Linked DNA regions of Lepisosteus oculatus. The protein of the gene in region 3 binds, or shares a complex with, the protein of the main gene of each other region. Links are inferred from orthologs where the notes say so. Each region holds a gene or a part of one and is shown on either strand. Other genes may lie near its edges. The genes, in order: transmembrane protein 107, cc2d2a and tmem67.

What was found.
Region 1: tmem67 (region 3) and transmembrane protein 107 share a complex: the UniProt entries of both Homo sapiens proteins name them as parts of the tectonic-like complex. The link is inferred for Lepisosteus oculatus from reciprocal best matches to the Homo sapiens genes TMEM67 and TMEM107.
Region 2: tmem67 (region 3) and cc2d2a share a complex: the UniProt entries of both Homo sapiens proteins name them as parts of the tectonic-like complex. The link is inferred for Lepisosteus oculatus from reciprocal best matches to the Homo sapiens genes TMEM67 and CC2D2A.

What each region holds. Positions count from the first base shown.
Region 1 is NC_090698.1:9,298,521-9,309,394, reverse strand, and holds transmembrane protein 107, read right to left. Parts: upstream 7,317-10,874; 5' UTR 7,075-7,316; intron 6,514-7,074; 5' UTR 6,432-6,513; coding exon 6,345-6,431; intron 5,953-6,344; coding exon 5,885-5,952; intron 5,407-5,884; coding exon 5,306-5,406; intron 4,509-5,305; coding exon 4,412-4,508; intron 3,748-4,411; coding exon of another isoform or gene 3,651-3,747; intron 3,333-3,650; coding exon 3,263-3,332; 3' UTR 2,688-3,262; downstream 1-2,687. Other genes in the region: aurkb (aurora kinase B), read right to left, coding at 410-466, 1,816-1,821. UniProt on the Homo sapiens protein: Plays a role in cilia formation and embryonic patterning. Requires for normal Sonic hedgehog (Shh) signaling in the neural tube and acts in combination with GLI2 and GLI3 to pattern ventral and intermediate neuronal cell types.
Region 2 is NC_090696.1:45,324,006-45,334,879, reverse strand, and holds the start of cc2d2a (coiled-coil and C2 domain-containing protein 2A), read right to left. Parts: upstream 7,008-10,874; 5' UTR 6,917-7,007; exon of another isoform or gene 6,890-6,916; intron 6,425-6,889; 5' UTR 6,326-6,424; coding exon 6,312-6,325; intron 5,572-6,311; coding exon 5,490-5,571; intron 4,831-5,489; coding exon 4,774-4,830; intron 4,177-4,773; coding exon 4,096-4,176; intron 3,633-4,095; coding exon 3,557-3,632; intron 3,375-3,556; coding exon 3,324-3,374; intron 2,965-3,323; coding exon 2,873-2,964; intron 2,492-2,872; coding exon 2,390-2,491; intron 1,978-2,389; coding exon 1,876-1,977; intron 850-1,875; coding exon 640-849; intron 1-639. UniProt on the Homo sapiens protein: Component of the tectonic-like complex, a complex localized at the transition zone of primary cilia and acting as a barrier that prevents diffusion of transmembrane proteins between the cilia and plasma membranes.
Region 3 is NC_090705.1:7,410,059-7,420,932, forward strand, and holds the start of tmem67 (meckelin), read left to right. Parts: upstream 1-4,392; 5' UTR 4,393-4,409; coding exon 4,410-4,602; intron 4,603-5,097; coding exon 5,098-5,186; intron 5,187-6,017; coding exon 6,018-6,108; intron 6,109-6,832; coding exon 6,833-6,932; intron 6,933-7,015; coding exon 7,016-7,085; intron 7,086-7,682; coding exon 7,683-7,754; intron 7,755-8,116; coding exon 8,117-8,179; intron 8,180-9,526; coding exon 9,527-9,681; intron 9,682-10,120; coding exon 10,121-10,229; intron 10,230-10,874. Other genes in the region: rbm12bb (RNA binding motif protein 12Bb), read right to left, coding at 1,223-1,243. UniProt on the Homo sapiens protein: Required for ciliary structure and function. Part of the tectonic-like complex which is required for tissue-specific ciliogenesis and may regulate ciliary membrane composition.

The DNA.
Region 1 (10,874 bases), on a different chromosome or scaffold from region 3:
AGTGGGATTTGCCCAGTACACCTGTAGTGGGGGGCGTTTGTTAAAAACTAAGAGCATACAACTGAGAGCCATCTAGCTCACCTGGTTTGCTCCATAGCTCTTTAATACCTGGATCCAACCAGGATATTTCTTGAAGGACACTAAGCCATCAGCTCTCAGCCAGGCAGGGCAGCTTGTTCCAGACACCCACCCCCCTTTGCGTAAAGATAGTGTCACCCGTTTTCAATCAATCAATGCAGGAGAATACACGCACGCTGGTTCAGTTTTGGTTGGGGGGGGCAACAAGATATCAAACATGCATTTTGATTGTTGCATAACATACATGCAAATCAATACACCACAACAGCTCACAAAAAAAGTGTTGGAGGGGTAGAATCTAGTAATAGGAGACCAACAGTTCAGAACTTACCGGTTGTCTCAGAGCAGATCTGGGCTCCTGGTTTTCTTTATTGGACATCTCCCCAGTCTGGGAAATTATAATTAAAGTCAAAAGCTTAAGCAATTTCTCAGCTCGCCTTCCAAAGGTGTCGGCAAAACCATGGATGAAGACACCTCCCTCCTACATATATGCGAGTCACTCTGGTTATCTTTCGGGGTGAGACGCGCCATTTATAAAAGCGGATAAGTTAATTTTAACTACATTTAGAGACCTCCTGGTGGCGGGGAGAGGAACTACAGCTGCTGACATCAGGACCAATCACCGGGCGTTTGATGGATAAACTACCAGAAGACAGAAAATCGAGAAGACTCCCCCAACGGTCATTTAAAATGCAGTTTACACCGAAAAAAAAGTAGTCTACTGAAGGGCTCTGCAACGTCACAAGACAAAAAACTCACAACAAGAACCTGTTGTGTCCACTAGGCGATTTTACAGCTGCTGCAGTTACGAGCCGGTCAGATCTTAAAGATCAACACCAATTGAGTTACGGGCAAGACGCTCGCCATCTTAAAAGGTTCACTGCAGCGTCTCACAAGCGTCAAGGTGCAACACAAGAAGAGGCACTTTAAAGACGACACGTTTGAGCACGACTGTACAAGACTGTGCATCCTGTCGAAATCCGTGCGCTGGAGGCTTTCAAGAGGTCAGCTATAGTGACAGTGAAGGAACAAGAGACCTGAACACACACTGAAGGCGGCTCCACAGCCTAAACGTTGTGTCTCTCCTTTTCAGCACGGAGGAGCAAGAACTTGTTCCTTTGCAGCCTACGCATGCTGACGCAGTTACTTACTTGAACTACTACAATAACCTTATCAAGTCTACCACGAAGGAGTGCTTAACCACGGGTGATATCGAGTTGATTAAATACTGTACGTCCATTTAGCTGTACCACCCGGGTGTGGAATATAGATACCCCCAAACCGGCATCCAGCGGTTTCCTTTCGTGTCCTGCCTCTGGGTTTTCGGATTATAAACGCCCGGCCGTTTTATTTTAAATTCAAGGCGATTCCGGAAAGGGTCCCAGTAAATTAACACAGATCGATACACCAACAGTTATTCAATTACAAATGATTTGCCTTTTGTTTACCTAAACTAACTACCCGCTGAAAAGTTACACCTCGGGTTGTGGTTTACCTCCGTCTGAGAATCGTTTTAAAGGGAGATAAGCTGCTATACACGAAGTGAAAAGATAAAGACGGGTAAAATGCTTTAAAACGTTACTCGATAACAAAACTCCACAAAAAAACACGTCAGATACGATGTTTAACGAAACCAACAAATCAAAAACAACTAGCATAGCCAGCGCAGAAAAGGATTTATTAAACGTCTCCCAATATAATCGCAAATAATATATATTTTTTTAATTACATTTTTACCTGCATATGCACTGTTGCTCCCTGCTTCTACAGCCAGTTGCTAACCCCCACGAGCGTGACCGCCAATGTTTAAATCCAAACCGGCGTCTGATTGGACTAGCCAAACGAGAGGTTGAGCTTGTGATTGGCCAGGGCGGTAACCACACAGCCGGCATCAGGAACGCTCATTGGGCACTCGAGATGACAATCTTTTCTGAACTGCCCAGTGAGAAGCACGCCTTCCGAGGAGAGCTTGACGCCCACCGCTCAAATATTACAACCTCGTTTTCTTCCTCTAGCGTAGATGTCAACCATAAAATCATCGGTTTGACCAAAAAAAAAAAACATTGGGACAAAGAAATATCCAAAATCCAGTTCACATCTTATTAAAACATTCAGCACAAAAAAGCGCGAGACACGATTAAGCAGGATCATTAAATCACGAAATCAGCCTTTAAAAGAGCTGTGGAAGTCACTCAACTGAAGCATACACCTGTCCTTCTTGGAGTCGGGCATGTATCTTTAAGGGAAGTCTGCCCCAACCTTTGAGTTGCATACAGAGATGTGATCCTCAATGGAGACGTGTACAGTATACCGCATCATTCTGTGTTGTGCTTTTCTGCAGAGCTAGCTGGGCAGCTCCAAGAAGACCCCCCCTCCCCCCCATCTAAAAGCAGAAGGCAAAGCCTGACAGCAGAGGAGCAATGTCAGTCACACTGCCTTCCACTGTCTCCTCACTTGCCTTGTAAGGTCAGCACATTGCTCGCCAACAAAAGACCTTTATTTTCCTCTCAATAATAATAGGGGGAAAAAAAAGCATGGCAGAAAACAATAAAATTGCTATGCACACACACAACACCTAACAGGTAACCAGCATAAAAATCACAGACTGCTTATTGTCAAGTTGGCTGTTTATTTTAGAAAATATAAAAAGATCAAGAGCCCCTGCCGGCTGACCCATTTACTGCCCTTCAGGAGCTGCCAGGCTCTGCCAGCAGCAAAGGTACCTCTTCCTTTTCACCCGCCAGCGGCCTGCTCTCTCTCTGCTGCGGGCACTCACCCTGGCGAAGAGCCGGCCTGTATTTCTGCACCCGGAGCACCCGCAGTGGAGGGACACACAGCCTGGGGCCACAGGAACCGCTGGGCACTGCGTGGCTCCGGTTTGGCTCCCTGCCTTTCTTTGATTTTATTTTTTGCACGAGAGGAGATGTAGACCGGGTGTGGCTGTTTTTTCCGAATAAGCAGCAACAGCGTCGGTAAAGCCGTGAACTGAAAGAGCCGGTCGGGCCGAGCGGCGTCCTGCCGGCATGTGCGTGTTCCTGCGAACGACCTCAGGGCGAAATCTGAAGGGGGGGGGGGGGGTTGTGCTGGGTTCAATTTTCTCCAGTTGGGTGGAGGGGAGGAACGTGGTTCATGGTTCAGCTAAAAGGAGGGCAGCAGTGTCCTAACTGTGAGTCTGCCTCCTGGCTCACAGAGGCTTCTTCTTCAGCCCAAACACTGCGATGAAGAGGAAGATCTCCACAACAGCAGGCAGAGCGCTGAAAACACATCAGAGAACACAGGAATCAATACCACTTACACTACAGTCTGAATATACATCATAGTCCCAACCCTTGTCCTGGGGATCCACACACTTGCAGTGTTTGGTCCACCTGAGTGCTCAATAATCAAACCCTTGATAGGGCTAATAGTAGGTGAGATATCGACCCAATTCATCCGTTCAGGGCTTAGTAAGAAATAAGAGGAGAAAGACACAGTGTGACTGTCCAGGACAGGGTTGTACATCCCCGACTTGTGACTGACCCCTAGGCCCACGTCCCACCGAATCCCACAGCTGCAAGGACGTGCAACTTTACCTGCAGAATCCAAAAATATACCAGTAGGTCCAGCACTCCCACTTCTGGAACACGAAGAAGGACAGGCAGACGGAGGCGCTGCAGTGACAGGCCAGGGCTGGCAGGGGGCGCCAGTCAGGGAAAAACAACCAAACCAGACTGAGGGGAGGGTGGGGGGGGGGGGATGCTCTCATTGTTTTTATCAATACTGTAAGCACCAGCCGGTTTCACTTAAAGTCTTCAAAAGGGATAACCGTCTTCAACAGGAACTCCTTCTGTGTTCAGAGATGTGGCAACAAATACATGTGCTCACATCACACATTTGCGTTAAGACTTAGCTCTTTCTTCAAGGAGGCCTTAGTTAAGGTAGGAATCAACCTACAGTTGCAACACAGAGAAGATCTACAATTCTAAATTCTAAAAATATTTTTTATTTCACAACTCCCTGCCTTAGTGCAAAGTGTTTCCTTCTGGAAAAAAAATCACAACTCAATTTCCTTAAACACAATTATAATTTTTGTAGTGGTAAACCTAATTAAAACTCTTTAGTATCCTACTACCTGCGTTCAAGATAAGGGGGGAACCCTGGACAACTAAACTGCCAAGTCAGTTACTTGCCACGTCTTGTGGGCGACCAACATTTACTGTTTTGGCTGAAACCAGCACCGTGTGGACCAGGGGGCTCGGTCTTCCCTCTGAGCGAGTCCCAAAAACAGACCAAAAGCGCTCCCCCCCCGTTAGTGCATCGGTCTGCCTGTGCCGTCAGTCGCTCAGTCACTGACCTGCAGAAGGCGAATATCCACCAGTACAGGCCGCAGTCCCACTGCTCGAAGAGGAAGAAGACGAGCGCGACTCCGGCGCTGGCGTGGGCCGCAGTGGCTGGAGGGCAGTGGCTGAGTCAGGGAGTGGTAACCCCAGGCGCTCGCGGGGTGCCCTTATGGCCACGAGAACCCGTTCCAGTCAAACCCAGATTCCCCGAGCCTTAAGGAGGATCCCCACTGCTGGTCCTTTGTGACCCCATAGCGTCGGCCAGCTCCAGGTCTCTTAACTGATCTCTTCACTGAACCTACAGCTCACTTAATCAGAGCACTTTCAACTTTATCGGCTCTTAGAAAAACACAGAAATTCAGCTGCGTACCGTACAAAACATGCATCTCTAATTCCAGCCACCCGATTCCTAGCTGCTTCTTCCAGTTCAGGGTTGCGGGACAGCTGGAGACTATCCTGGCAAGCACTGGATGTAAGGCAGGATGCACCCTGGACAGGAAGCCACTCCATCGCAGTGGAGACCCATCTCAGATACACTCATACCAGGACATCTCACATGTCACAGCAAGATGACATCTTTCCCTGTTTGTTCACTGCGCTACTCTCAGGACACCCTGCCTGACACACTGACGGCTAAACCCTGCCTGTGCCTGCTCTCTCTCCGATATTCATCAACCCATCCTCAGCTGGATCGGAGTGTCCAACTGCTTTCAGTATTTCCCTGCCCCTAGGGGAAGTCGGTCCTGTCAACTTCAGGGCTGTCCATCACAGCTCCACATGCTTCCCAACTAAAATTCAACAGGTGGGAGACCAGACTCTGCACTGGGAACAGCATATCAGCCTCGGGCAGCTCTGTGAAGGGACCAGGGAGGTCCGGGCCACAGTCCTGGGCAGCGTGTGAAGGATACAGAGGAGGCCCTGGCTGCTGTTGAACATGGACACGCCGGAGAAGAAGCCGGCCAGCTCGATGGCAAACATGCCGAGGGTCACGGAGAGGGCCACGACGAGCCTGCGACACGGAAAGAGAAGCAACCGCCCACAAAACGTCAGAAGGCTTGTAGTGGGAGAGAACCCCGAAACTGACACTTAACACACAGTTCTTCCCATGCATTGGTAAATATTTACACACAGGCAGCACCAACACTTTCACAGAAACACACATACAATACAGAGTGGTACAGTACCCACTCACTAACCAAAATATTAGGAACCAAGCAGTGAAATCACTACACTTCCTCTGTGTGCAGAACAAAGGGTGCAGGTATCAGACACCATCCATCCATCACCTTTCTTGGCCAGAACAACCTCTCAGATCTCCATCCTGCTGTGAAACCAGTGATACAGGTCAATCCCAGACACCACTGTCCCTCCACAGACACTCGAGTGAAAGGGATGGGACTGGGCTGCCGCCATTTCGCAATGGGGGTCCCTAATATTGTGGCAGACAACCGATCTTAAACATGATGTCGAAATTCCGTTGGACTTACTGTGTATCCTGGCTGTTGTACTCTTCCTGTGTGTACTCTAAAGGCAGGCAGGCCAGGACGTTATTCTCCTGAGAGGAAAACACACCGACACACTAGTTAGGGAGAAGGCCAAACATCAGGGGTGCATTCACCAGGCACAGCACTCAGTCCCACATCGCTATCAATCTTCAGGGACAGCAACATTTATGATTCCCAATTTATTCCCACTTACATATCTGTACCCATGTGTACAGCGGGTCACCTGGGATTTGAACCCACAACTTTCCTGTTACGAGAGCTTAGCCCTGACTACACTGCCATGCAGCACAGGGCAGTGGTAAGAGACCTATTGGAAGGACTAACTGAAGCTGAAAGCCAGTAGAGATCTTAGAAAACTATTAAGAATTTTGCAAGACTGTTTACTTATTAAGACGTATGGGTAAGCCTGACAATTGGTTCTGCTGGAAGTGCGGGCTCGTACCCGGGACCAAAATATTGTGATGACAATGACGAGGTGCGCAGTGAGGGTGAGGAACCGGGCCGGAACCAGGCTGCTCACAGCAGACATCTCTACTTTTGGGGCCGGGCCGGGCCAGGCCAGGTCGGCAGGGCCGAGGTCAGAGGTCAGAGGCACCGAGGCTCGCCGGGACCTGCAGAGGAAGAACAGAAGGACAGGGCAGAGCTGAAACTGGACTCTTTTCCTTCACCCGGGGGCGTCTGACAGATCCGGCCCCATCTTTCCACACGAGGGCTCAAACACTAGGAAAGATTCACCGGACACCCTACTACTACTGCTGCTGCTACTGAGAAGTGGAGCGAACAAGAACAGATTAAGAAAACTACATTTCATATCACTTAGATTAACAATTAGGATAATATATGTGACTATTCGTGACTAGAAGCTCAAAATGTTAAAATGACGCAAGTTACTACGCTCGTACTCCACTAACGAAGTCCCTCCTCACTTCTTTATTAAACCCGGTTGAACATGAACGTTTTTCTTAATGTTTCGTCAAACACCGAGTATTTTAGGAATGAGGAAAAACTGATTTTTTTTTGCACAACAATAGATAACATTATCTAGTGGAATTATTACCGACACCGCTGGACTTGTATTACATACTTCAAAACACCCAGGACGGCACACGGTGCCCGTCTTTTGTGTTAATTTAAGAGTTAACACATTTTAAAACAATTTGTTCGTTTCTTACCGTTACGGTGGAGCTATGATTTATTTTCAAACCGACAAATACAATCCAGCGCCCTCCGCAAATATGATACCAATGAAACAAAAATACAAAAACAACACACTTTTGGAGTTAAAAGGAAAATGAGATGAAAGCACAAATTATGCTTAAAAATCTGAAATTAGGCTTCATAGTTTACAACAGCTCACTAAACAATCGACACTCACGCCGCCCGCTGTCGTTGCTACAGCAACTGAACAGATCTCCGCGCACTCTCGCGAGAAGCCTCGCGTTCTGCGAGGTGACGTTTACAGGGTGACGAAGGAAATCGCGGAAGTGACACGAAATAGCAAATAAAAAATTGGAGACTTAAGTGGAGATTTAAAAACAGAGCGGGCGTGTGTTTCCAGACTGTAGCAAACAAGGACAGTTTTCTTTTGCCACATGTTTGTTAAAACTTTTGATTAGATCAGAACTAGCTCCATCACCATCAACTCCATCACTTGTCCTTTTGTGAAGCACATATAAATGTGTATGTATCCAACCGTGTTTAACCCATGATATACAAAAAGTGTATAAAACACACCATGATATTGCTCTATATACTGTATTGCTCTGCTAACAGACACTGATAGCCGAACCACTAGGAACGCCTTAATTACCACGATATGTAAATTACTTACGCAAGGATTTCTGGGGGAAACGAACCGCTCACGATTTACTGAAATAAAACTTGTTTAATACGGCTGTTGAATCCTTTTTGCCTCGAGAGCTTGGGAACTACTTCCTACTCTCATCGACATTATCTGCTGCTTGTACGGTCGAATATTGAAGTTTAAAATGGGCCAGTTGTCGTTTCTTACCATGACCGGTTCGACCCGAAACATTAAGGACTAACTCCGCGTTAGCAGTTAAACGGTATCGTCAGTGAGGTAGTTCCTTACCTGTTACTCCAGCAATGGAGTTTCAGAACATGATGAATGGAGAGAGATGAGATGATGATTAATATCTCACAATTGATGAGGAATGCAACACCCTCGTTAATTCCATTCTGATTTTCACTGACGATCAAAACAACTTCGTTAAATATAAGAAAATAACTAGTGATCCAGATGATGTGTACTAAAGCTTCGTTGATCTTACTTATTCTGGGTAATTATGTTTCACAAATAAATCTCCTAATTACACTGAAGTCGTTGTTGAAGGAAAAATTTAATTACCTTCTGTCTGTCGCTTTTTAATTTTAATGGAGTCATTATACTTCCGTTTTTAGGAAACTCCACAGTCTCTTCTTCTCTTCTGCGGCAGGAAATAAACCGTAACTTAAAAAAAAAATTAAATGTGTAAACAAATTTGTGTTTACAAATACAAATAGAGGAGAGGAAATGGATGAAAGATGAAACAGAAAAAAACTTAACTGCCAGAGATAAGGAGGAAAAGTATTTATGTGACCAAGTAATATTTTATACATACATCAAATAATAATTGTATTTTTTTTCTTTATTATTCCGAAAAAAAAACATCTCAAAAGGAAACATCTCACACATATTAACACTCTACGTAATAAAAACAACGGCGGAACGGCGGTGATTGTCCGTTATCAATCATTGCAAGTGTGGGTGGATTTGCGCGATTATGAGAGTCCCTCCAAACCCTACCACTTGCTGTTGTCCATTAATCCCTGTACAGGGTCCAAAGTCCTTTCCAGCACTCCCTCGCCGTGGGGAAACCCCATTTGGCAATGTCGCGCTTCATCCTCCTCCTGAGGCCCGCCAGGATCCTCTCCTCCAGCTCCCTCGCTCCCCACTCGATGTTGCGCCGGATGAGAGTGCTCCTCGCGTCCCACAGGCCTTTTTTGTGAGGGACAGCAGCAGCCACATCAGGAACGGCGTCCCCTTGTCTGATCCGGTAGGTGCCAGCCCAAACAAGGAAGGTGTGGAAACACACATCCTCTAAGTTTCTGTGCAACATTCACAGAGATTTAGCCTGGAGTGTCGTCCACCAGTGCTTACCGGTACGAACTTTCTTGTACCGTAGGGGCCTCACCCCCAGCCCTCGCTGCGTTAGGGTGGGCTGCGGCGAGGAGGAGACTGTGACCCATCTCCTGTGGTCCTGCTTTTTTGCTAAGGCCTTCTGGGCACAGTTTGAAGATTGGTTGCAAGCTCTCTCGCCCCAATTTACCCTGACCGCTGCGTCATATACGGCATCTCTCCTGTCAAACTTCCTCCTGACGTGTTTGACAGGATCTGGGCCGTGGTGAACAGTGGGAAAGACGCCCTGTGGAGAGTGAGGAACATGGGGCTGTTCAAAGGCATCGAGGTCCCAGTCAAGGCAGCAGGTAGCCTGGCCCTGTTCATCACCCGAGAGAACTATTACCTCAGAGATCTGTGGAGAGAAGGGAGGGAGGAAGCAGAAAGTCTGTGGGAAATAGAGAGCATAGGTCAATATCTCAAGAAACTGTGAAAAACATTATCATGTTTAAGTAAAGAATGTGATTTGCACCACAAAAAAAGAAATTGTTGCTATGTAACTGGTACCGTGTCAAAATGTAATGAGATGTGATCATATATACTGTTTTAAGTATGTATATTAATGTAAAGCTTTCTAATTTGTGATGTCCTGTATTTTTTTGTGAAAAGAAAATAAAGTTCTTAAAAATCAAATCAGGTGCCAGCCCCAGCAGAATGTACTGGTAACTGAGCACCACACCCGTTCCCAGGAGTTGCATAATGTTGTCCATTCTGCCCCACACCGCCTTGGCAAAGGGGCAGCTCCAGAACACGTGCTCCTGAGTCTCCTCGACGAAACACGTGTCCCGGGGGCAATGCGGATTCCTGGAGATCGAGTGTCTGTAGAGGACCTCTCTGGTAGCCAGTCTCTTGTGTACGGCCATCCAGTTGAGGTCCTTCAGTTCGTTGTCCAGTTCTTTCGGCTGCGTTCTTTCCCAGACTTGTCTGGGAACCTGCAGCCTTTCGTCTGCGACCAGATGCCCCCTCACCTCCTTGTACAGGGCTCTGGTGCAGAGCTCTGGCTGTCTCGTGGCCTCGTACCTCCTGCTCCACTTGACAGTGTGGGTGTAGAACTCCGGTCGCCTCTCTGCCTTGGGCCCGGTGTTTGACCACTGGACCAAGTGCCTCATCGGGACGGAGAGCCACAGCCTGACAAAGTACTGGTACTTGTGGCCGATGGGCTCCCGCAGCGCCCGACAGAGGTTGCAGAAGAAGATGCAGTCGAGTTTCAGGGGGAAATGTGGGACATCTCGACCCCCTTCCTCGACCGGCTGACACATCCGGTTCCTCATGATGTACTCGTACCTGCCGCCCCAGATGAAGCCGAAGATCATCCCTTGCAGCGCTCGTCTGAGTCTGGCCGGCAGCGGGTACACCCCCGCCAGGTAAACCACAGACCCAGCTTCGCGTTCACCTTGGCGATCCTCTCGGTCCAGTTGTTGGTCTTGTTGTCCTGGCTCTGGAAGGAAACCCCCAGTATTTTGAGGGGCTCCGTGCAGAGCTCGAGACCCTCCGGCACCGTCGTCCTGTGCTTCCAGGGCCCGAAGAACTTCGGTTTGCTCTTTCGGCGGTTGAGCTTCGACCCCGAGGCTCTGGAGTATTGCTCCATGACCCGCAGTGATAATTGCATATACCTATATAGCGCCTTTCTGGATACTCCACTCAAAGCGCTTTACAGGCGATGGGGATCCCCTCCACCACCACCAATGTGCAGCCCCACCTGGATGATGCACCAGTGCTCTCCCCACACACCAGCTCTCAGTGGGGAGAACAGAGTGATGAAGCCAGTTCAGAGAGGGGGATTATTAGGAGGCC
Region 2 (10,874 bases), on a different chromosome or scaffold from region 3:
TCACAATCAAATTAGTTTATAACTGTAAACTGTATTATTGTACAGATATCCTGAATACTGATAAATTGATATTTCTAGTCTTCCACTGAATATACTTTGGAACACCTCATAGAAAAATTGACAACATTGCCTGGAAATTAAAATTCAGGTAAACACTATAAAGTATTCTGGCTTGGAATATCAGATTAAGCAGCAAGTAATATTTCTGTTTTATTATTTTTCAGTGAGGTCTGTTGTTAGAACTGGTACAGATCGAGGGGGTCTCAAATGTTTTTTCCCATTTTCACACATCACTAGCTCATTACCCACTCTTTACTTCCCACCAGTGTCTGTATCCTTAGGCCCTGTGTGGCAAGAGCCCTAAACCACTTATGAAAACACATAAATGCAATACAATTCATTTTAACATCAACAAAACCAACTTTTAAGCAGCTGATTTATAATTTTTATCGTCAAAGTCTGCAGGAATGAATAGTTTGTATATACACACCTTTGATAAAATCTAATGAATCCTCTGAAAACTATATTATAGTATATAGTGTGGAAAACTTGACTTGTTTATATGCTCTTTGTAATGCTTTTCAGTTTTATAAAACGGAGAAAGTCAGCTCAAGCAGCTACACAATGCATCTTCATCACCTTCTCCTCAGCCTCCTCTTCCCCCTGCAGGTCCCTGCTTAGCCCAGTCTCGTCTTCCTCCTCCTCCTCCACCACCTGTTCTTCCCCACCTCTTTCACCCACGGCTTGTCTCCTCTTTTCACCCTTCTCTTGGGCTTCCTGGGGTTCAGGATCAAAGGTGACGGTGAAAAAGTTGTAGGCTTCCTCTGCTGTAGGGAAACCAGTCTCCACCTGTGCAGGAGAGACAGGAAAATGAAGATGACATGATGGAAAGAGAATGCTGTTCATGCTTGGGCATTATTTTTGGTTAGTTCTGCTGACTTGAATTTAATTCCGATGTAGTCTGTTAAAATTGGCTGACTACAGTAACCACCCGATATAAAAGTGCAGTTTGCGGAAGTTTGCAAACATAAGCATGTGAAGCATACATAAGCATAGTGAACCCGGGGGGACACAAAATGAATGGAGCTTTTTGTCATGTGTAACTGTGGTTCAGGATGGAAGGAAATGGATTTTCTTGCATAACATAAAACCATATTAAAAAAAACCTCATAAGGCCACTTTTTTCATCTACAGTATGTTACTGTGCACATAAAAGTTACAGTATTTGTTGTGATACCAGATAGTAGATGCACTGTAAATCCAGTGTATTGTAGAATTTGGTAATTTCAAGTGACTTTATTTGACATTTTTGGATTATCCTCTCCTCCTCTTAAATTATTTTATTTTGCAATGTTATAATTACTTATCACCTGACAGCACTAAAATTAAAAAAGCAACTTTCTACAATCAAGCTAAGGTACTTAATAAAAAAGTTTGAGAAAAAACATGTTGGGTTCCATTTTTAGATGCATTCTGTAGTTGACATTAATAAGAATAATAGATATATATAAATTAAGAAATGCTTTGGATTCACTAACAGAAATTTAAGACTATTAGCAAAACCAAATGAACTGGGTTTTCATGTAGTTCTTATAGGAGGATTTTCTACTCTGCAAAGAATGAAAAAACATCCTCTTAAAATACCTATACTATTATTAAACCTTAAACTGTCACTGGCAGGTTTTTCGCTTTGAAATCTTTATATTGGGTATGTCGTTTCAAAACCATTACAGTAACATACTATATCTGGCAAATAATATAAGAACATGAATAACACATACAGTATATACATACTCATTTCGGGAATTGCATCGAAAGGAACAGCTGAATTGTAAAGAGATGTTAAAACAAAACTAAAAGAAAGAATACTGTTACCTGAGACCTCTGCTTGACTCTTTTCACAACATCTCGAAACTTTACTTTTGAACCAGCAGGAGATGCATCAGCTCCGTTTATCTTGAATTCGTGGTCATCTAACTGTATATTAGCAATTTCCAGATTTCAAATAAAAAAAAAACAAGAGCACAAACAAAGATGTTTACTGCATAATGAAATGCCTCTGCATTAATTTATATAAAGCATGCCTGTGTAACAGTAGAATTCATCAGGCCCCAAATGTATTTTTATATTCCTTGGGAAAGAAACAGGACTGTAATAGCTTATTTGAATAAGAAAAAAACAGAAGTGTAGAACCTATCAACTTTCAACTTAGCACAAAAACATATCTACTGTACTTATTTTACTGAGGAAGATCATATACTGTATAGAAGGATCATGTATTCTGCATTTCATTTCATTTTCATTTGGAGAGAAAATTGAATAGGATTCCATATGGTTAAGGTTAGACCAGATTTGCTCATTACTCATAACTTGTATCACAATAATTCACCTGTTTGTCAAATCTAGTGACTGTCTCTCTGTCTCTCAGGCTCCTCAGGCGACCTGTAGGCTCAGAAGTGTCTTCCTGCTGCAGAATGCTTTCTGCTTTGGACTAATGAAAAACATAACCTATGTTATATGAAACATATAATTTATAACGTATTTCATATGTTATAAACATATGAAATACAGGATTTTATTTTTCTAAAAATAAAGATTAATATTTTTTCTTCCTTTCTGTTTTTGCGCACAGCAATTTATTATGGAAAGAAAAACTGTTTTACATTGTAGCTGATGTAAGTTTCTTCTGTATAAATATTCTACACAGATAATCACAATATCATAAATTCAGTGTCTGTAAACTAGTGTCTTTTCAGTGACTTCTGACACATTAAGCAAAGACAGTTAAAAATATATTTTTTACACTTCACATTATTTTTTCTTCTCAAAATGTTTCCTTTAGAGGGTGAGTAATCAGTAATGGTTTTATTACCCTGGCAGCTTTCAGTTTCTCTCTCATGCGTTCTCTCATTGAGAATTCTGCGTAACTGGTACTTGGTGTAGACACAGGATGGGGAGACAGATCTTAGAAAAATGTAAATAAAAAACCTTGTAAGAATTCAGACTTGTAATGGCTCAATGTTATATTTTATAACTTTCAAAAAATGTTTGAGGTACTACATCTTTTAAAAATGATACTGTGTATATTACATTTTGTCTCATAAGAAACTTATTGGTTATTAGTAAGTGTTTTGCTGTACCTTACAAGGAGTTATAAGATTAAAATGTTTCAAATTAAGAGTTCATTTTATTTATAAAATGTTATACACTTTCCCAGGTCTGTCATCTATTAAAAATTCTGCAAGAGAATTAAGACTTCTCAATGTTAACGCCATTTATACTCCATTCATAGTCTTCTGTATAGAAGTATAGAAAAATACTACCATGTCTTGCGTCTGTTGCTTGCTGTGATAGGCTCCCACTCCCCTGCAACCCTGTATTGGAAGAAGCAGTTAGAAAATGAAAGGAAAGATGGAAGGATGGAGAAACCAAAGTGCTGCACTGAAGACAATGTTATTCTGTTTGATGGGAAGCTGAAATAAATATGATGAAAACACTATACAAAACAACCCCCCCCCCCCCAAATCTGATGTGAAAACCTTAAGTAAACACTTACTTCTCTGACCATGAACCACAACACTTGGGTCTCTCACTGGCTCCTCAGAGATTATGTCAGCCGTATCCTCCTGTAACTAAGATAAAAGTCAGAAGACTTAATTTTTAGATTTACTATCACTAAATAGGGTGTGGATTGAATATTATCTTCAAGGGAGTATGAAAAAAGCATTCAAAAATAGTGTTTCAAAATCCCTTTGTATTATAATGATTGTAAACATTAAACGGAATGCTCAAGTACACTCGAAGCTGTTTAAGAAATTAGAGGTGCAAATGCTGAATTCAGAGTGACACCAGGAAATGAAAAATCCCGTTTAGAAAAAAAAGAGAGCTTCAAATTGCAAAAAAGTGTGAATATATTTGTGCCATTTTAAAAAAATGTAATACAAATTTCTTAAAGAAAGGAAAGTCAGTAAATACTTGAATATCTACAATAACTTACATGGAAACTAGAATAAAAGTATTTCTTTACTGAACACATCTGTATCACACATTTGAAATTCTATACACTGTGTGATCTATTTAATTAAAAACACTTACAGGCTTTTTTCTCCTCTGTCTCTGCGCCTTCAAAGTTCTTTTTAAATTTTCCACTTGTGTTTCCTCATTGTCAACGATTTCCTGAGTTAGAATATAAAAAGAATCTTTAAAAAGAATGTTGATAAGTTTCAATCTTCCTGAAAATAAAGCCCAAACCACAGAGAATTTTGTCAAAAAGACAAATTATTTAAGGTTGGTATCATGCAGTGCACACATTAAATCCTGGGGAAATCATCAATCAATGTGTTATATTTTTTTAAGACAGTTCATACGAATAGCTTTCAGATGTCCATCAGAAGTTTTGACAGACTTGTGGATTTCTTTACACTATTTTACAGTTTTCCCTAAAATCAAAACAGATGATTAATTGCCATGAACAATAGGTAACCCTGTACTTGCTCAGGTAAAACCATAGAGAACAAGCTCACACTTGCATTGAAGAAACAAGGGGATCATTCATATTAATGCTTTTTTTTTTACTTTGAAATTACCTATTAGACTAAAGTCAAATGAATTCAGTTAATACTAAGATACCGTAGTGCTGTTTAGCGTTGTTATTTTATCCGGAAGAGACAAGCAAAAAAAGTATAAGATAGTTTAAAGGACAGGTACAATCCATGTGCCTTATGAAATCTATAGAGACAGCATACCAAACTGAAAGGCTGAACAGACACCAACCTCTACAGTAGCCTGTTCAGTTTCCTTACTGATTTCCATTTCTGTGGTGACCAAAGCCTGGCAAGCAAAACAACACAGCATTTAATGGTGAAAAGGAGCTCTGAGGAGTAGGTTCCTCCCTCCTTTGGCTACAAACCTCATTTCCAGGGCCTGTTGAGTCTTGCACAGAGCTGCCTTGATAAAAGTTATCTGACCTGCTATCAGTCTACTGAGCCAGTCCTGAACACATTTTCGTTTTACTTTTCACCAAAAAGACTGGATTAATATACATTTACAGTTAGATTTCTTTTCTAAATTTATAAGAAGATACATCTTGCATTTGTAGAACAAATGCTAATTTTTGGAAATGATGGGTGGAGTTGAGGGGCTTATTCAATGCCCACAGCAGTAACAGGGAAAATATTATCTTTCACAGTAACTGCTAAGAGAAAAAAATTCAGAAGTGCCATAATGAACATTATTGTTCCTTTATGTGATTCATAAGCTATGGGAAATTAAAAGCAAAACTGTTTAATGTCAGAAAGCATCTGACTCCAGGAATAAATACAGAGACCTCTTGGGGAAGTTTGAAATCAGTGCATCAGTCAGTAAACATGCCTAGTATGAGCCATGTAAGTCCAGTTATCATTCTGCCTTTTTTCAAATTGAACGGCTACCCCCTCTGTATATTTTCATATAATTATCAGTTACAGTACTTCAGTCAATCATCATTTTACCTGTTTATCAATGTCATCTTTAACTCTTGTCAAAGATTCTTGAAGTGCCTTCCGCTTCTTTCTAATTTTCTCACGTAGATCACTGAAAGAGAATTGGGATACCAATTCAGTGATATCAAAATAAAACACTAGCTGCAAACAATAAAGATTCCTTACACTTATATTGCGCTTTTATATAATCAGGACACACCACTCAAAACACTTTGAAGGTAATGGGGACTCCCCTCCACCACCGATGTGTAGCATCCACCTATTTAATATTGTACCCTAACACTGTAGGTAGTCTTTACTAGCTTTCGTATCTTATAACTGATTTTAACACCTTAAGGATGTGCTCTGCTGTAAAAGTAAACCCCCTTTAATATATAACTGTTTGATGCTTTTGGATATATTTGTCCTTAACGTTAATGAGTTTGCATGTTCTCCTAATAATTGAGGGGATTTTCACGAGTTACACTGAATTTGAAGAAGTCCACAGGGTTAACTTATTCATTTAAAATCCTGAAACGCAGAGACAAATCTATCAATACGGCCAGTGGAACTAGATGACATTAAAAGAAACTAAAGGGAAATGATTTTAAAACTTAGAATGGAGGTACTTTTTACACAAAGGATTGTGGATGTCTGGAATACGCTAATACTCTTTCTTCTTTCAAGAATCAGCTGGATGACACATTCAGCTCAATTAGATACTAGAAACAAAGTCAGGTCTATGGACTAAATGGCTTCCATTCTCTTTCAAGCTTTTTTATGTTCTTATAATTATATGGCCCAGTTATTTAAAAAATGTTGACTGCCTCATCAACCAATAATTCCACCTACCTTGAAGAAGCCATGTCCTTATGCACAGCAGTTTGACATCACAAGAAAGGATGCCAATTAAAACTCGACACTTCAGAATTCTCCTTTCTATTGTTGGGTCCCGTCTCAGATTTCTGTAAAAAAAAAAACACTGAAGTCATTTAAGCAACTAATTAATGGTTACTCAAAATCTTTGTCCTGTAATAAAAGGTAGGATTTGTTTCTTATGCCCTAGAGCTATGCAAAAGAAAAATACAACCTCGGGCAAACCTGTTGCATCATAATTACTATCTAATTGGTAGGTGTACTACTTATATAGAAGTGCTATAAACAGACAACAAATAATTTACTTTAGCCGCAGATACAGTACGTACACAATTACACATTGAACAGAATACAGTATAAGCAAAGTTATTTATACAAATAAAAAAAGTAAACTAATATACTGTGCCTTGCATTGTTTAAATGCAATTTATCTATGCACATCTCATAAAACAAGCATGATACCGTTTGTGAAACAGTGAGTGTAACATTTCAAATAAAAGCAATGCAAAGTCACATCTGGCATATCTTTCATTGTTCGATATTCAGACATATACCAGTATATTTTCTTTCGCTGTAAACACCTTATCAACTGCCGCAGGCTGTAACACTAGTTCAGTTTTGCTGCTTAGTAACGACGGAAACTACTTTCCAACCAAACTTGATACCTTGATGTAAAAACAACCCCAGTGCTCCTCTGCACTCACCTCATTCAGCAACTTGCTTGTCAATCAGGGCAGAGGGCGGGCTTGAACGGTCATTAACTATGGTGGCTCGGAAGGGTCTATATTCATTAAATCGATTAGATTTCAAAAGGAGTCCAAAACAAGATTTAAACGTATCTCACAGCAACCTTTCTTTTTTATTTTTGTTACGTGTTTTAGGACTATTTCTCCATTCACCCCAGTTCTATCCGATCTTTCAATTCAGGGTGGAGTTTTTTTTGTGGAGGAAGGGGGTTTAACCGAAACATCCTCGGTGACACTCGCGGGTTTGGAATTAAACCCAGGAATCCAACACTGCGTCACTATGCCACTGTGCCACCCATAACATCTCCTTATTTTAAAATATAACATTCAAAAGAGAAGAAGATGATCGATCCACTTTCCTTTTTTGAATTTATCCAAATTAAGTGACTGATCAAGCTATTTTATTATTTTTAACCCATTGAAATATGTTCTTTATGTACACTTTTTCTCATCTGGCACTCCCATAAACCTGAATTGGATGAAGCATTTAGAAAAGGGATGTATTTTGTCAAACAATCCAAATATATGTTATATTTTTGTATTATACATGCAATTAGGTTATTTTAATCTTTTATATAATAATTCTAAGGTAGTGAGAGGTGGCTTTGAGGGGAAGTCACCTGTTGATGTAAACAAAACTTTAAAAACAAGGCACACCTGGGATTTCATAGGAGGTGAAGCAACTGATAGGATGGGCACAGTGTAGAATTGTAAGAGCAGCTAGGAGGAAAAGGATTTCAGTCTGTGTCTAGGTTTCAATCAAGTGAGAAGTGAGAAATTATGGGGTCTCATAAGTAATGAATTGAGCTGGCTTACAGACCTGCAGTTCTCAGTGAACAAGGGATGCTTGAGAAAATATAGGTTGGACTGTTGTAGGTGTAGGACAGATGGGTGCTGCATAGTAATTAGGAAGAGGATTGACTACACAAAAGATTAATGAATGTGAAGGTGGCAGTGTAATGCTATCCCAAAAAGCCTGAAGATGAGGAAGGTATTGTAACGCTTACGGCCGACAGGCACTGTGTAAGAGCCGGCGTACCAGAGCAGGTGACGTCACCGCCCTTCCCTGTGAGCAGGACTACAGCTACTGGACTGTGGAGAGATCTCTATTAGGCTCACCGGGCTGGGTCCCTGTTGAGTGACATGGGAGTCCTAGGTTCGAGCCCCTGACGGTGTGGGGCTGACCTAATGTAGCAAGGGTGCCCGTCTGAGCCCCTGTTGCGTTACATTGGTGTCAGAGTGGTGTGGGATAGCCCTTCACTGGGGGCAGTGATTTAAGCGGGGGAGGGTGTAATGCTTATGGCCGACAGGCACTGTGTAAGAGCCGGCGTACCAGAGCAGGTGATGTCACCACCCTTCCCTGTGGTAGCAGGACTACAGCTACTGGGCTGTGGAGAGATCTCTCTTTGGCTCCCTGCTGAGTGACGCGGGAGTCACGGGTTCGAGCCCCCGACGGTGGGGGGCCGACCTAATGTGGCAAGGGCACCCGCCTGAGCCCCCGTTGCGTTACAGTATGTTTCTTGCTCAATTGGCACCAAAGGTACTGGAATATTAAGGCATAATAGCTTGTTTGTCAGGCACAATGGGATTGAAGTTGGTTGCTAGGGAACAGAGCTAGCCTGCTTAATTAAAACTGACTGGAGTCTTTGGCACCTGGAGTAGGGCATTGCTTGGCAAGGTAGAAATATGCCATCTCCCTATTCCTGAGAGAGAGTAGTCTAGCTAGCACAGGTTGAGTACCGAGGACTCCCTGGGTTTTCATAAATTGACAGACTGGTGGTCTATGAGAAGAGAGAGAGAGTCTTAAGCAGACTGCTGCTGTGTCAAGGCTGCAAGTGTGGGCTACATGGAGGTTTGTCTGGCCAGGGACAGCTTTATAGGTAGTGATGAGAAGAGTAATTGGTTATAAGTGAAGATCAGGTACTTGGTGAAGATTGAGTGAAGGGTTGGGGTGAAAGTGTTGCACAAAGAATTGAGTGAAAGTGAATTTAGTCAACATTGTATTCAGTCAACATTTAATCTGGATAATCTAGTGCCTGGTTGTTGAAGTGATTTTAGTTAAGACTGAGATTGAGCCTCATGGATACAGTCTAATTGAATATTCTAGTGGCTGATTGTTAGTGAATTAGTGAAGATTAAGAATTGGGAAAACAGATTTAGTCATGTGCCTGGTGATTAGTGAAGATGGAGATTGGATAATCAATGAGAAGATCAAATGACTATTTTAGTCATGCATAGTGCTTGGTGTCAAATGAAGACAAAGGATGAAGAGAGTTCCAAATAGGAAGATCTATAGATGTTGAGTAGAACCAAGTGAAGAGAAACCTGGAAGGAGGAGGAAGACTGTGCGACAGCAAAACATCAAGTAAAAGCTAGGATCACGGAGGCAGTCCAAAAGTTGAAAGATTAAATGATTTTACGTTAAAGTGCAAAACACAAAGGTGACATCCTTCTTGGGGAGAGTGATGTGTGTGCCAGTGGTTGTCACAAAGAACTTTCAGGATCTAATTACATTTAATCTTAAAAATATAAGAGAATAATGGACAACTTCGGGGTTCACAAACATTTTCTCTTCATCAAATAATGATCATACCATTAACATCTGCCACACTTATTACTTCATCTACCATGATTTAAATATGTCACAAATAGCTAAAGCTTCTTGTGATTTTCACCTCACAAGTATTGACATAATTATCCCACCCCCATTGGGCCATCAACTGCTACTTGCCATGTGGCCTCTTACTCAATGTCAATCCTGGGCAAAAATTGCTTGACCATGTTGTTCTAAACATGGTAAGGACAACTCTAATGACAATAGTTAACATATGGCAATGTGCGGTTCTTGCAGAAAGTTAAATGACAAAACGAATGCCATTTTATTAAAAAATGCAGTCTGTCACTGTCTTAGGCACTGCCCCACCAATTCTCTCGACACTTGGCAGTTTCCATGATATGCATACTGCACTTCAGAATTGCCCCTCAAAGGTTGTAGTAATACCCTATATACTTACGGTACAACATGTCATCTCTTGTTTGGTGAATCACATTTCATAATGCAAGTCGATCCTGTGAAAAATAGGACAATTAACTTCAAACATGAAAGCTATCATTGTAGATTCTATACAATTAATAAATATAGAGAAACAGGCTTCCTACATAAATCAGAATGGCCACCATATAGTTCTCTTGTTCATACACTTCTAGTATTGCAAACTGCTGGGTAAAAAATATTTGGTAAAGTATTTCCAAACTTGGTATGGATATGGTGCTTTGGACACCACTGTGAGCTTGGTGGTTAGCACTACTCCCTCAAACTGATTCCTTTCCAACTTGGGGGACCTGTGTGTATGGTGTCTGCTTGTTCTTTCTGATCGTATATGGGTTTTTGCCATATGCATTGATTTCCTCTGATCTCATAGAAGAGAAATCTACTTAAGTTTGACTGCATAAGTATCAGCCGTAATTAATACAAACAGAACATGTGAAGAGATTTATTTTTTCCGAAGGCTTTTGTTAAAACTCCATATGAAAGTTTCATTCTCAACATCCAAGCAGTATGCATTCAAGGTAAAGCATGTTTTTTAAAACAGAAATAAATACAGTACTTTAGCACAAAGTGCTGTCAGGCATATTTAAACACAGTTTGTTTGTATGTTTATCAGACTTATTTAAACAAAGCGCCCATGTTGGAATTGCTTTTTAAAAATTGACCACATGCCACATGAAAAGCCACATGAATAGGAAGCACATTATATAGTCCAAGTAACACAACTAAATAGAACCTTGGATA
Region 3 (10,874 bases):
ACTCAATTTGCTTGGTTTATCTCACTCTGCATTCTATGACTAAATATCCATTAATGAAAGGCCCACAATCCAGTGCTATCTTTACAGGCAGTCCTACACAAGAGTTAATCCACATCTGGGGCTCACCTCTGGTTTGTATGCATTATGTTTTTTATTTTAACCAGAAGTCAATGCACATTGGCACACAATACATGATCATCGCTAAGGTAACCCAGTGATGCAACATCATTGGCCTATACTCAGAAGCACAGCGTTTCCAACATGTATAATTACAACACAATAATACCGCAGGTTTGTGTGCATACACACAAAACCATAAAATAATGTTGTGTTATACTTAAAACTAAATCAGAATACCAAATCCTGTTTAGAACAAATCCACACAATACTGCTCCTGTCCATCAACAATGTGGCCCATATTGTATACCACAATAGGCTTTGATACAATGAACAATCCTTCTTTTAGTTGTTTATCCTCACTTCATAAACTATTAAAACTACAGGAAAAAATCATAACTAGACACTAAGAAAGAAAGAAACAAGCGTTTATGAAAGTCTAGAGAAATCCTCCATCTTCTCTGTTCATAAAGAACACAGATCAGTCTTCTTGCTTCACTCCATTTTCTGGAACAAACATCAGTATTATCCACACCAAATACAAAAGCTCCCGATGTCCAATTTCCACTGGAAAGTGTTCTTGCTTTTGAATGTTTCTGTCACATCCAATGCAGTGGCAATGCTTGAGGAATGTACCAAGACGGATCTCTTGCTTAAGTGCAAATTGCACAAAGTGGGACCAAGCAATTCAGTAGAGTGAGGGCTCCCATGTTCCGTGTATCCACTCCATTCTCTTTATGCCAAACAGATATCAATCAATAATATTGAAAAAAATCATCTATATTATCCAGATGACAAGCTTGATTTAAACAGACATTTATTCATCTACACAGATTTCAATGTATCGTAAAAAAAAGCCCACCTCAATTTACTTCAGTACCGAAACAACAAGCTATTGAAGAGATTCAAACCCTAAAACAAAACTATCCAAAGCCATCACGGACAGAAAGAACGAAGATGATGATAAAAAAAAACATCACAGATAAATTTCACAAACAATGACTGAGATCAAGAAAACTTAGCCGAAGATCTCCCAGGCAGTAAAATCACACAACGTTAAGTGACCCCGTCACTGCTTTAAAAAAAACAGCTCTCATCCACAGACCTGTGGGTAGGATGAATTCATTTCCTGCAGAATTCAAGGTGCAGTTGTTGTTCACATCAAGGTGAACTAAGAAATATCAAAGTCTCTGATGGATCGACTCAAGGAAATTAACCAATTTGCTTTCCAGATAAAAACCAAGCAACAGCAACAGCAAACTTCAGAACAAAAAATGAAACTGTTTCTACCATACTGTATACATCTTCCCTAGTCATTAGATAGAGAAGTGAGCTGTTAAAAAATATATTATTTTTAAATATAATTTTTAATTAAAAAGCTTTTAACTGCAATTCTATTTTAGAATAAAGATTCATTTTAATTTACTCTAAAACATGCATTTCATCTTTTACCAATTAAAAAAAAACCCATGCCTGGAAAAACAAGGAAATTGTGTGGCAGAAAAGATTACGTACTTTCTAAACAGCAAGTGGAAATCCCATCCACACACTAAATTACAGCAAAAATCAGACTACAACATGCATAGAATAAATCCTTACTTTCTTATACAACATTGCACTTTTCATTTTAAACCCCCCTATGAGCAGTCAGACCCCCCAGACCAGGTGCTAAGTGAAAGTTTCCAAATAAATGACGCAGCCCTATCCCTTGCAATTATACTGATTTGACAGATTATTCAGAGGAAAACAGACGGGTTTTCTTCCAGTGAACCCACAGAAGTTAAAAGTGCTGCTTTGTTGTGACAACCATAATATCAGAAGAAAGAAGAGCATACCAGGTTCCCGCAAACTTAATGACTACATAGGCAACAAAAACCTGTTGGGAGGTTCTCAAACTGTGCTTAATTGCTGCCGGTGTTTTGGATTTGCACCTCTCCTGATTGGCATTTTAAGGCGTTGCTGCTGTTGTCTGTCGCATGTTCAGAGACTGTAACTGAGGGAAGGACCGAATAGCAGGGGTCGTGTGGTGGGAGTCGACTGGACTGGGTGTCCACTGAGTGGAGCATCAAGACCGACCGACCCCCCCTCCGGTCTCTGCAATGAAAAAAAAAGTGGCACGTCTCCTTCAACCTCCTAAATCACTGCGAGGACGTCAAAATGCAACTAGGTTAATCCAAACCAAGTTAATGAATGACTGTGATTTCTGCAAACAGAACACCGCGCCTGGCGGCCCACAAAACGAGTAATTGTTTCACAAATGTCTTCACGCATCCGTTAAATTAACCCCTATACTGTATTTTAAATTCTGCATGAAACCCTTATTGTATTTGCCGTCTTCCAAAGTGACTCGGTCGTTAAAGCCTAATTTAAGATGTACCGGATATCGTTCAAATTGTATTACAGTACAAAACAGTAAATGGCATACACAGGCAACAAACAAAATAACTGAAAACAGGTCGCTTTTGTGGTAAAAGCAAACACGCTGCCTCACTCTGTTATGTACCTCTCATCACGTTATCTAATCTCATCGATGAACCTAAAGCAATTGGGAAAAAAAAACTGCTGCACGTTATTTCATAATCCAGCAGCGGTTAATCAATCAAATACATTATTTTAACACCCGTTTAAGAAAACAGATGCACTAACGGTATCAACAAAAACACAAAACAACACTGGACAAAGTGCCAGGAAATTTAAAACTACAGTATAACGGGAAGGAAACGAATATCTGAGAACCGTTTCGTTAAATTAAGCAACTATTAAAAAATACAACACATTATATTTGAAATAGCCTATGGACACGTAACAAAACTGCGGGTTAACAACATAAACCGAAAGGTCCTGAGCACTCAGACAATAATTAGACGGTTTCATGGAAGTACACGGAAAAACCCAGAACCCACGCAATTGCCTTACGTACAACAAATATAGAATAAAAATGATTACTTGTCCAGGCCAACAGAAAATATAATCTCCAGATGTCCCGAATCACTCCCCAATACAGGTAAATTTCGATATTAGAAGAAAATGGCGTCCCCCCTCCAAACAACGAGGAAAACGTCAATTACAAAGAACGTCACCATCTACGGAAACTCAGAATAGCCAAAACGTGTTTCTTCTTTTCGAAAAAAAATAATCATAACACTTGGGTTAGCTATACTTTAGTTTATACTGTACCGTAGCCTTAGTACTGTATCTCTTATTGTGCTTTTTCGCATGTAAGCGCATATCTACTAGACACTTTCATTTTTCCATTGATAAGGATGAACGGGTTACTTTCTCTGTAATGCATTGATCCAAAACATATTGGACACTTCAAAGGTTTCAGATCTATGCATTTTTGAGAATCTTCACTTGAATATTTTAGACTAAACTCTAAACCATCCCAAATTGAAATGCTTCATTCTAAAATAGCCTCTTTGTCTTTTGATATGTTGATGGTACACTGGAACATAAAAACGGCTTTGTGTGAACTAATGCTGTAAAGTGCAGACACTATATAGGCTGTATTTAAGGCCAGTCACAGGCTCAGGTTCATACATCTTCTAATCTTTCTGACTAGTTAGCAGTTTATAATTTGTAACCGCTTTGAATTTAATAATTAAATGATTTAGATCCTTCTGAGTGTATGTTTATAAACTGATCATTTTTTCATGTAGTTAAATATAAATGCCACTGTCAAAAGACTACAGCTTGACCAGATTTATAGGATTGAATTATTTAAGTCAATGCTTGCATCATACCTGGAATAATAAAGAAGCCATTTACTAAATGTAATGCAAACTGAGCTAGAGGATTTTTTAACTACTTCTCAACACTGAAGGCTCCATAAACTCAAAGCATATAAGAGCCTTTCAAAAACAGGATGTATAATCACACTTCCTTATTTACATTGGTTTTCATATGTAATTCCTGACACAAATCGTTCATGTGCTTTTGGTAAAACATTACTTCACTTCCACAAGGTATATCTACGAGAAGCATCAATTTAAAAGCTAAAAGCTGGCAAAAAAAAACGAAATTCCTTTCTAATCAAGATTTATTATCTCGTTCAAAAAACAATTCCTATCTTCATTACGAAAAAAATAAGCAAACATGCTTAATGCTATGACAAAAAATCTAACTGTGCTATGTACAGTGTATATAATGTGTTCGGTGGTAACCACATCGATCAGCAAACACACCTCCTTTCCTCTCAGACTCATGAAAACATTCCCACAAGCCTGACAGCAACAGCACAAGGCTCCGGGTTTTGGACGGTTGGATTCTGGGAAACAGGAAGGCTGTCTACCATGGCGACAGGGACGCTATGTGTCTTTATGTGCAGATCTATTTTATTTGTGTTGCTGAAATCAGGTATTTACAGTTGTCAGCAATTCTCCATTCCCTTTCAGCAACCCTCAGGGTGCAGCAGAGAACAATATTTTGACATTTCAAGTCTCTCCTGCGTGAAGTGCGGACCTAACCAAATCAAAAACGCAGATGGTAAGTATCAGTAGTATTTGATGCTAGTATATAAATCGGCTCGGCGCCCTTCTGATTTATCTTCTTCATCAATGGAGTCAACACAAGATGTCAAAATAGGTCTCCGCCAGAATGACTTTCCAAACAGCAATTTTGTCGTAAATTTGTATGTCATTTAGTTAATCACATTATTGTAAAATGCAAATGAAAAAAAAACAACAAACTGAAGTTATCATAGTCTCATTAATTAATGTAAGATACAATTAAAATAGACGAGACGTAAAATTCTGGTTTACCTAAATGCTGCTGCATATTTCTTCAATCGATGTTAAGCAACGGGCTGAACTGGATCTGAAAAATATGGTTTTAGGTGATACATTGTGGTTGCAGGCAGATCGTGAAAACAAAGTATCTGTCAACTTTATACTTCCGTCATCATTCCTAATAATTGTGTCATTCTTCTGTGTTCCTAAGGATAAGAGAACAACTCAATATGTTTAGTGCTTTGTGTTACAGGGACTTCGTGTATATGCGAGACTGGATTCGTACTGGTATCTAATAACGGAGAACCTGCAACCTGCGAAAAATGTCCTGATACAAAAAAGGTATGATTCTTCTACTTCAGTGCAGTTTCTTCTTTCATTAAGAAGCTGAAAAATAACTTAAATGTAGGCTGTATAGGAAACAAAAGTTGGAGTTATTTTATTTCTCCCTGATACTCCTGACTTATGGTTTTAATTTTGATATCGCTTATGTTTTTAAGATTTCAACACACAATCACACATTCACAGATCACACAGCCAACATCTTTATCTTTTTACACTCTTTCTTTTTAAACCACGTCCATATACCCTTGGGGCCCTGACTAGCTCCATTGGTAGTGCATGAGACTCACAATCTCAGGGTAGTGGGTTCATGTCCCAAGTCAGGCGCCAGGTCCTCCATGTTGGAGGTCGGGCACAAGGCTAACAACCCTGTTCTGTAAAATACTAAAAACAGGGTGTTTCTGCCCCTAAATGCCAGAAGGCGTAACAAGCAAACATCCCTCCATATACTATATGAGGTTTAGTCAATGTGTGCTCTGAAAATTGCCCTTGTATCATCCTTCTTTTCTGTTCTGTTACTAATTTACCATCCTCGGGAATAAGGGGATGTTGCTAAGAGCCCATCTAGCCCATTTGGTTGCTAGTAGCTAAGTGATCCAAGGATCTCAGCCAGCCATTTCTTGCGAGAAACTAAGGTCCTGGCTTGTTCCATGCTCCCACAACACTTTGTGTAACGATGTCCACATTCTTTTGTGTTGTGGCGGGGTAGCGTGACAGGTATTGGTCTTTTTAAGTCAGGCTTAAAAAGCAACTGTTCACAGCACACCTTCCCAGGTATGACATCTCTGTTGTTTTTATGTTTCTGGGTATATCTCCTGTCTGTCATAACAGGGAGTCACCAGGGATGGCTTTGGATGTATCAGATGCCCAGGAGGTTTGAATGACGATGGAACATGCCAGTGCTCAGCTGGAAGTATACTGGGTAAGATTGTTTTAAATCTACAATCTCCCTAGCGAGTTAAGGGAGAACTGGAACACTGTTTTTAAATTTCGGATTTAGAAAACATCAGCATTGATGAGTGCATTTCAAACCACAATAACAGTCAAATGTACACAGTAACTTGTAAAACCTCCAGTTTCCATCACATGCAGCGCCATGTTCTGCCATTCAGAACGAGGTAACAAAATTTCCAGTGACGTGAAGTGACTCTTGCTTGTTTAACTCTGCATGCATATCACATTGGAAACTTTCTGTGGTGCAATATCTGCTGCACAATCTGTTATTCACTCTGAACATCACGTTACATCAGTCATTACAGTGACTAGTGAGCAGGAAGGGCCGCATCACATCACACTTCTGGGGAACTTGAATGTGAGTTGGAGACAACATGGCAACTTAACGGTACTTTCCCAAAGTTCACGAGTTTGTGCTTAATTCAAAATTTGTCAAATTTGTCTAAACTGTCAATGGAGTCATATTGCTACCGAGATTTGATATGTGAGAAATTGGGACTGGAGTTTGCCCTTGAGCTGCATTTCATGGAAACAGATATTACTGTGGGAAATACTTCCTCTATTGTTCTTAATGTCTGCTTAATTGAAGGAATGCATGCTTGTATTGACTTAATTATAAACGCATATATTAACCATTTCTCCATGTTGTGTGTATGTTATTTTTCTTACTGACCTCACATTTCCCCCACCAGTTGAAAGGGATGTCAACGGAAGGCAGCTGGAAGAAGGGAAGTGTGAGCCCTGTATTGCTGAAAAACCTGTTTTTACAGTCCCAGATGTTCCTGGAGACAGGTAAATGACTCATTTTTAGTAAATCTCCCTCAGACATAAAGTATTTCTAGAAATTGTTTACTGTATGTTCTGTTTTCTCACAGGTGTGTCAGATGTCAAGAATCCTTTGTCAATACATCCCTCTCCTGTGTTTGTGGTCCATCTGGTACACCAGTACGTATTTTTAATGCCTCTTAAAAACATACCTATGTATACAAGTATACTTTGTTCAGCTCTGATTTGCCTTATTGAAGTAATACTTTTCTTACAGGACTCAGAGGAGCATATCACATTGTATACATATTTTCCTGTTTTGTTGTTGAATTGTTGTGTATCTTATGTTTTTTATGATTATTTTGTAGCTGTTGGTTTAAAGCTTTCATATGTGAGAAAGTGATATGAAGAAGTTTATCATTGTTTCACAGGATGCAATTTACAATTCTTAAGTTATTGTCTGATGCTGAATTGCTTTGTGGGTAAATGCCTTTTGAGATGTATTTTTTTAGTTGTATAATAGTGTGGTCTCACAGGGTAGGAAAAATATATGGAATGGGTTGTCCAACCTAATAGATGAACTGTGTAAAATAACTGTTTATAACACTTATTTTGATGTTTTCAATTTGTACATGTTAAAGTATTTATTTCACCTATGTTTTATTACTGTTTCACTTAGGAATTTCTCCCTTGTTATATATTTCTTCTGTTATTTTTAGGATTTGTACCATAAATCAGGGTTTTTGATATTTAGGTATGAATTATTTACTTTTTCAGTCAGGAGGTTCATGCTTCCCATCAAATAATCTGCCAACAACAGTGACTTCCAGCATTAACTTTGCACAGCTGGTAAGTAGATGGTGAATTTCCTATTCTGGAAATAGATGATGCATATCAATTCTCACCTTTTGTTTGGTCATGCCACTGAAAAATGTACAAATTGTTAGTCAGAGCAGATCCTCTTGTCATACCGGGATCTCTTTCTGAAACAGAAACAGACAAACGTCTTGAAGCAGTCATATTGTACATTAAATCACATTCCAGTGACATCAATAATTGAAGTAGTTTACATATACAACCTAAGTTAGGGGTGACATTGAGACGAGTAGTTTATTAAATGTGAAATGTGGTAGCAGCACAACAGTTCTTTTTGTATAATTTACTGTAGATTCATTAAAGTTGCTAATTTAAAACCTAATTTTCCCATTCAGGCCATTCCGGTTCAGTCAGTTTGGTTTGCTAAAAATCTTCTGTCTTCAGCAACTGCGTGTTTGGTAAGGATACACAGCTGCAATGTTTATCTTCTTTTGTATTTAAGCAAAACTTTTTTTTTCAATATTGAGATTGTTGTACGACGTATGTGTACTTTATATTAAGATATACATAGACTTCTGTGTCATTTTGTTCTGTTTCTGTTTTCTATTCATGGGAACATTTGTTTCCAAATGTTCTGGGAACATTTTTCTGTTCCCAGAGGACATACAAAAATGTACAAAAAGTAAAGGAAGTCACTGACCCAAGACTTCTTCCAGGCTTTTGAAATGAGAGGTGCTAGAGATCTTACTCCCAAAATATAGTTTGATAATTCATCTCAAATATCAATAATCCTAATATGTCATAATTGTCAGCTCTGAGTCATTGTTTTGTATTTACTCCTGTGTTAAGGAAGGTCTTTTTGTCTGCTTCGGAATACCCAGATTCTGTTTAGTTCCAACCAGAAGAGATTATTCTGACACACATTTTCAAATTCAAACAAAAGGTGTGTAAAAGAAAATGTTTTGCAGCATATTTTCAGGTGTCCTTTGCCTTTTTGGATTGCATCTCCATGTAATGTGGATGCAGATGATGATTCTACAGTCAACAATAAACACTTAGAATCTTTCTGTGCTTTGACTTCCTATTCTGAATGTGCGTTTGCGTTGTGTGTAAAAGCACATTCTTATCAGAGACTAATGGACATTCATCTTCATCTGTCACCGTCTAGAAACCTAGACATGAATACCCATAATTACAGTTATGATGAGAAGGTCCCAGACCTTTCCCTGATGAAAACATTTGCACTGTCATGGCAGGTCTGCGACAGGATACCGTGTAATTCAAAAACATCTCAATTGCATCCCATCAGGTTATGACCTGATGTTCTGTTCTGGAAGCCTATTCATTCTTATTTATTTTATACATTAATATGTCTAATTCCTTTGGCTAACAACAAATCTGTATTTCCAATGACTGATGAAGTTTGTTTAAGTTCAGTAACATATGATTATATACCGAAAAGACGAATTCCTAATGCAAGAAATTGTATAGGGCTTATAAAGAAACATTAATATTATTAACACTACCACTGTTTAATTGGATTTAATTTTGAACACATAAAAAGCCCAGTGTTGGAGTACTTTTTATACTTATTTAAGCTTTAAGACCAAAAGGGTGTTATTTAGTAGTCAGCAGCAAAAATATGCTTAGGCTTAATAAAAGGAACCTACAGTGCATGCATTGTTTTATTTTAGTAAATTGAATTTCTATAAAATATGAGTATTTTGTGGTTTACATGAATTGCAGTGATTTTCCAGTGTTAGTCATTTCTTAAACATTCACCTCTGGTAATGATTATCTTGCAGACTCTTTCCAACTTAGCTTCCTGTCAGGCCCTTGGAAACATGTGCGTGATGACCATGAATTCCATCAGCAGTGTCAGTAACGATGCCTGTGGCCTCTTTAATAATATATTCAGAAGCACTGCAGCTCTTGGATCTGTACAGGTTATATCCTACTGGTGAGTCACATCTTTTATAATTGCATTGTCTTATAACTTGCTCTTTAACCAAGAGGAATGCCAACATTTTTATAGAAGAACTTGAATGTATGTTGCAGGACTATCATACAAAGAATGACCGGATGGATTTTTTTGGATGAATAGAAATGTTACTATAATTTTGTACAGGATAGGTCTATATTCCAGAGGTGTAGACAGCTGTTTCTAAGTGCTGTTTTAAAATTCATTCACTTTATAGCAACCCATTTGTGTCCCATGTGACAGTGGAAGAGTATTTAGGTATATAATATGAGAAAGGAAACATTTAATAGCTTTGTTGAAGATTTTTGGTCATGAAATTAGAGTATTTGTTGAAGTCGGGAAAACAAGTGTGTTTTGCACTTTTCTTTTTCTCTAAGAATGCAACCACAAACACGTCCACGTTTTTGTTCTGTTTCAGGAGGGCGAATCTCCCTTGGCTTTACTACGGTGATCAGCCAGGTTTGGCTTCTCGAGTCCTTTTCTCTGTGTCTTTCCCAGCGAGCTTTAGTTTTAAGGGTGCGGCTCAGGTAAAGCAATAGAATCCCTTTTTGCTCTGTAAGTCACATATAAACTGTATGATATGAGGGCTATATATGCCAGTTTGTGCTGTGTCCATTTTATTGAAAAATAGGCTACTCATTTCGCACACTTCCTGCTGGGCCGGTCCAAACTGGCCATCTATAAAAACAGAAAAGGCCAAAGTGCTGGCAAAGGAAGTGTAGAGATGATGAGGATGTTTTAGGGGTTGGTAAACAAAACTGGATTTAACTGGAATTCCTATATTTCAGCGGGTGAAAATCCTATTGCTATTTAAAGTCTCCAAGTATGTTGATGATTCTTCATGGGAAATAACTGGGGGAAGACTGGTCTCTAACCATGAGTGCAAGTACCACATCTTAATAAACAAAATGCTTAACATCGATGGAAAGGACTGTAGTAATAGTTATGTTTTGTAAATGTAATGCCTGTACTGGATATGTTTTCATTGCAGATCTCAAAAGAACAGCATGTATTTGCCTTTTGTTTTTGTTTTGTTTTTAAATAAATAAATGCTTTATTTCCTAAGGTCATGGGGTTTAAGCTGCAAGTTAAAGAAACAGATAACATTTCAGATAAATTCTTTATTATTGTACAGTTTGTACCTTTTAAAAGTATTGGTACATAAAAGTCAA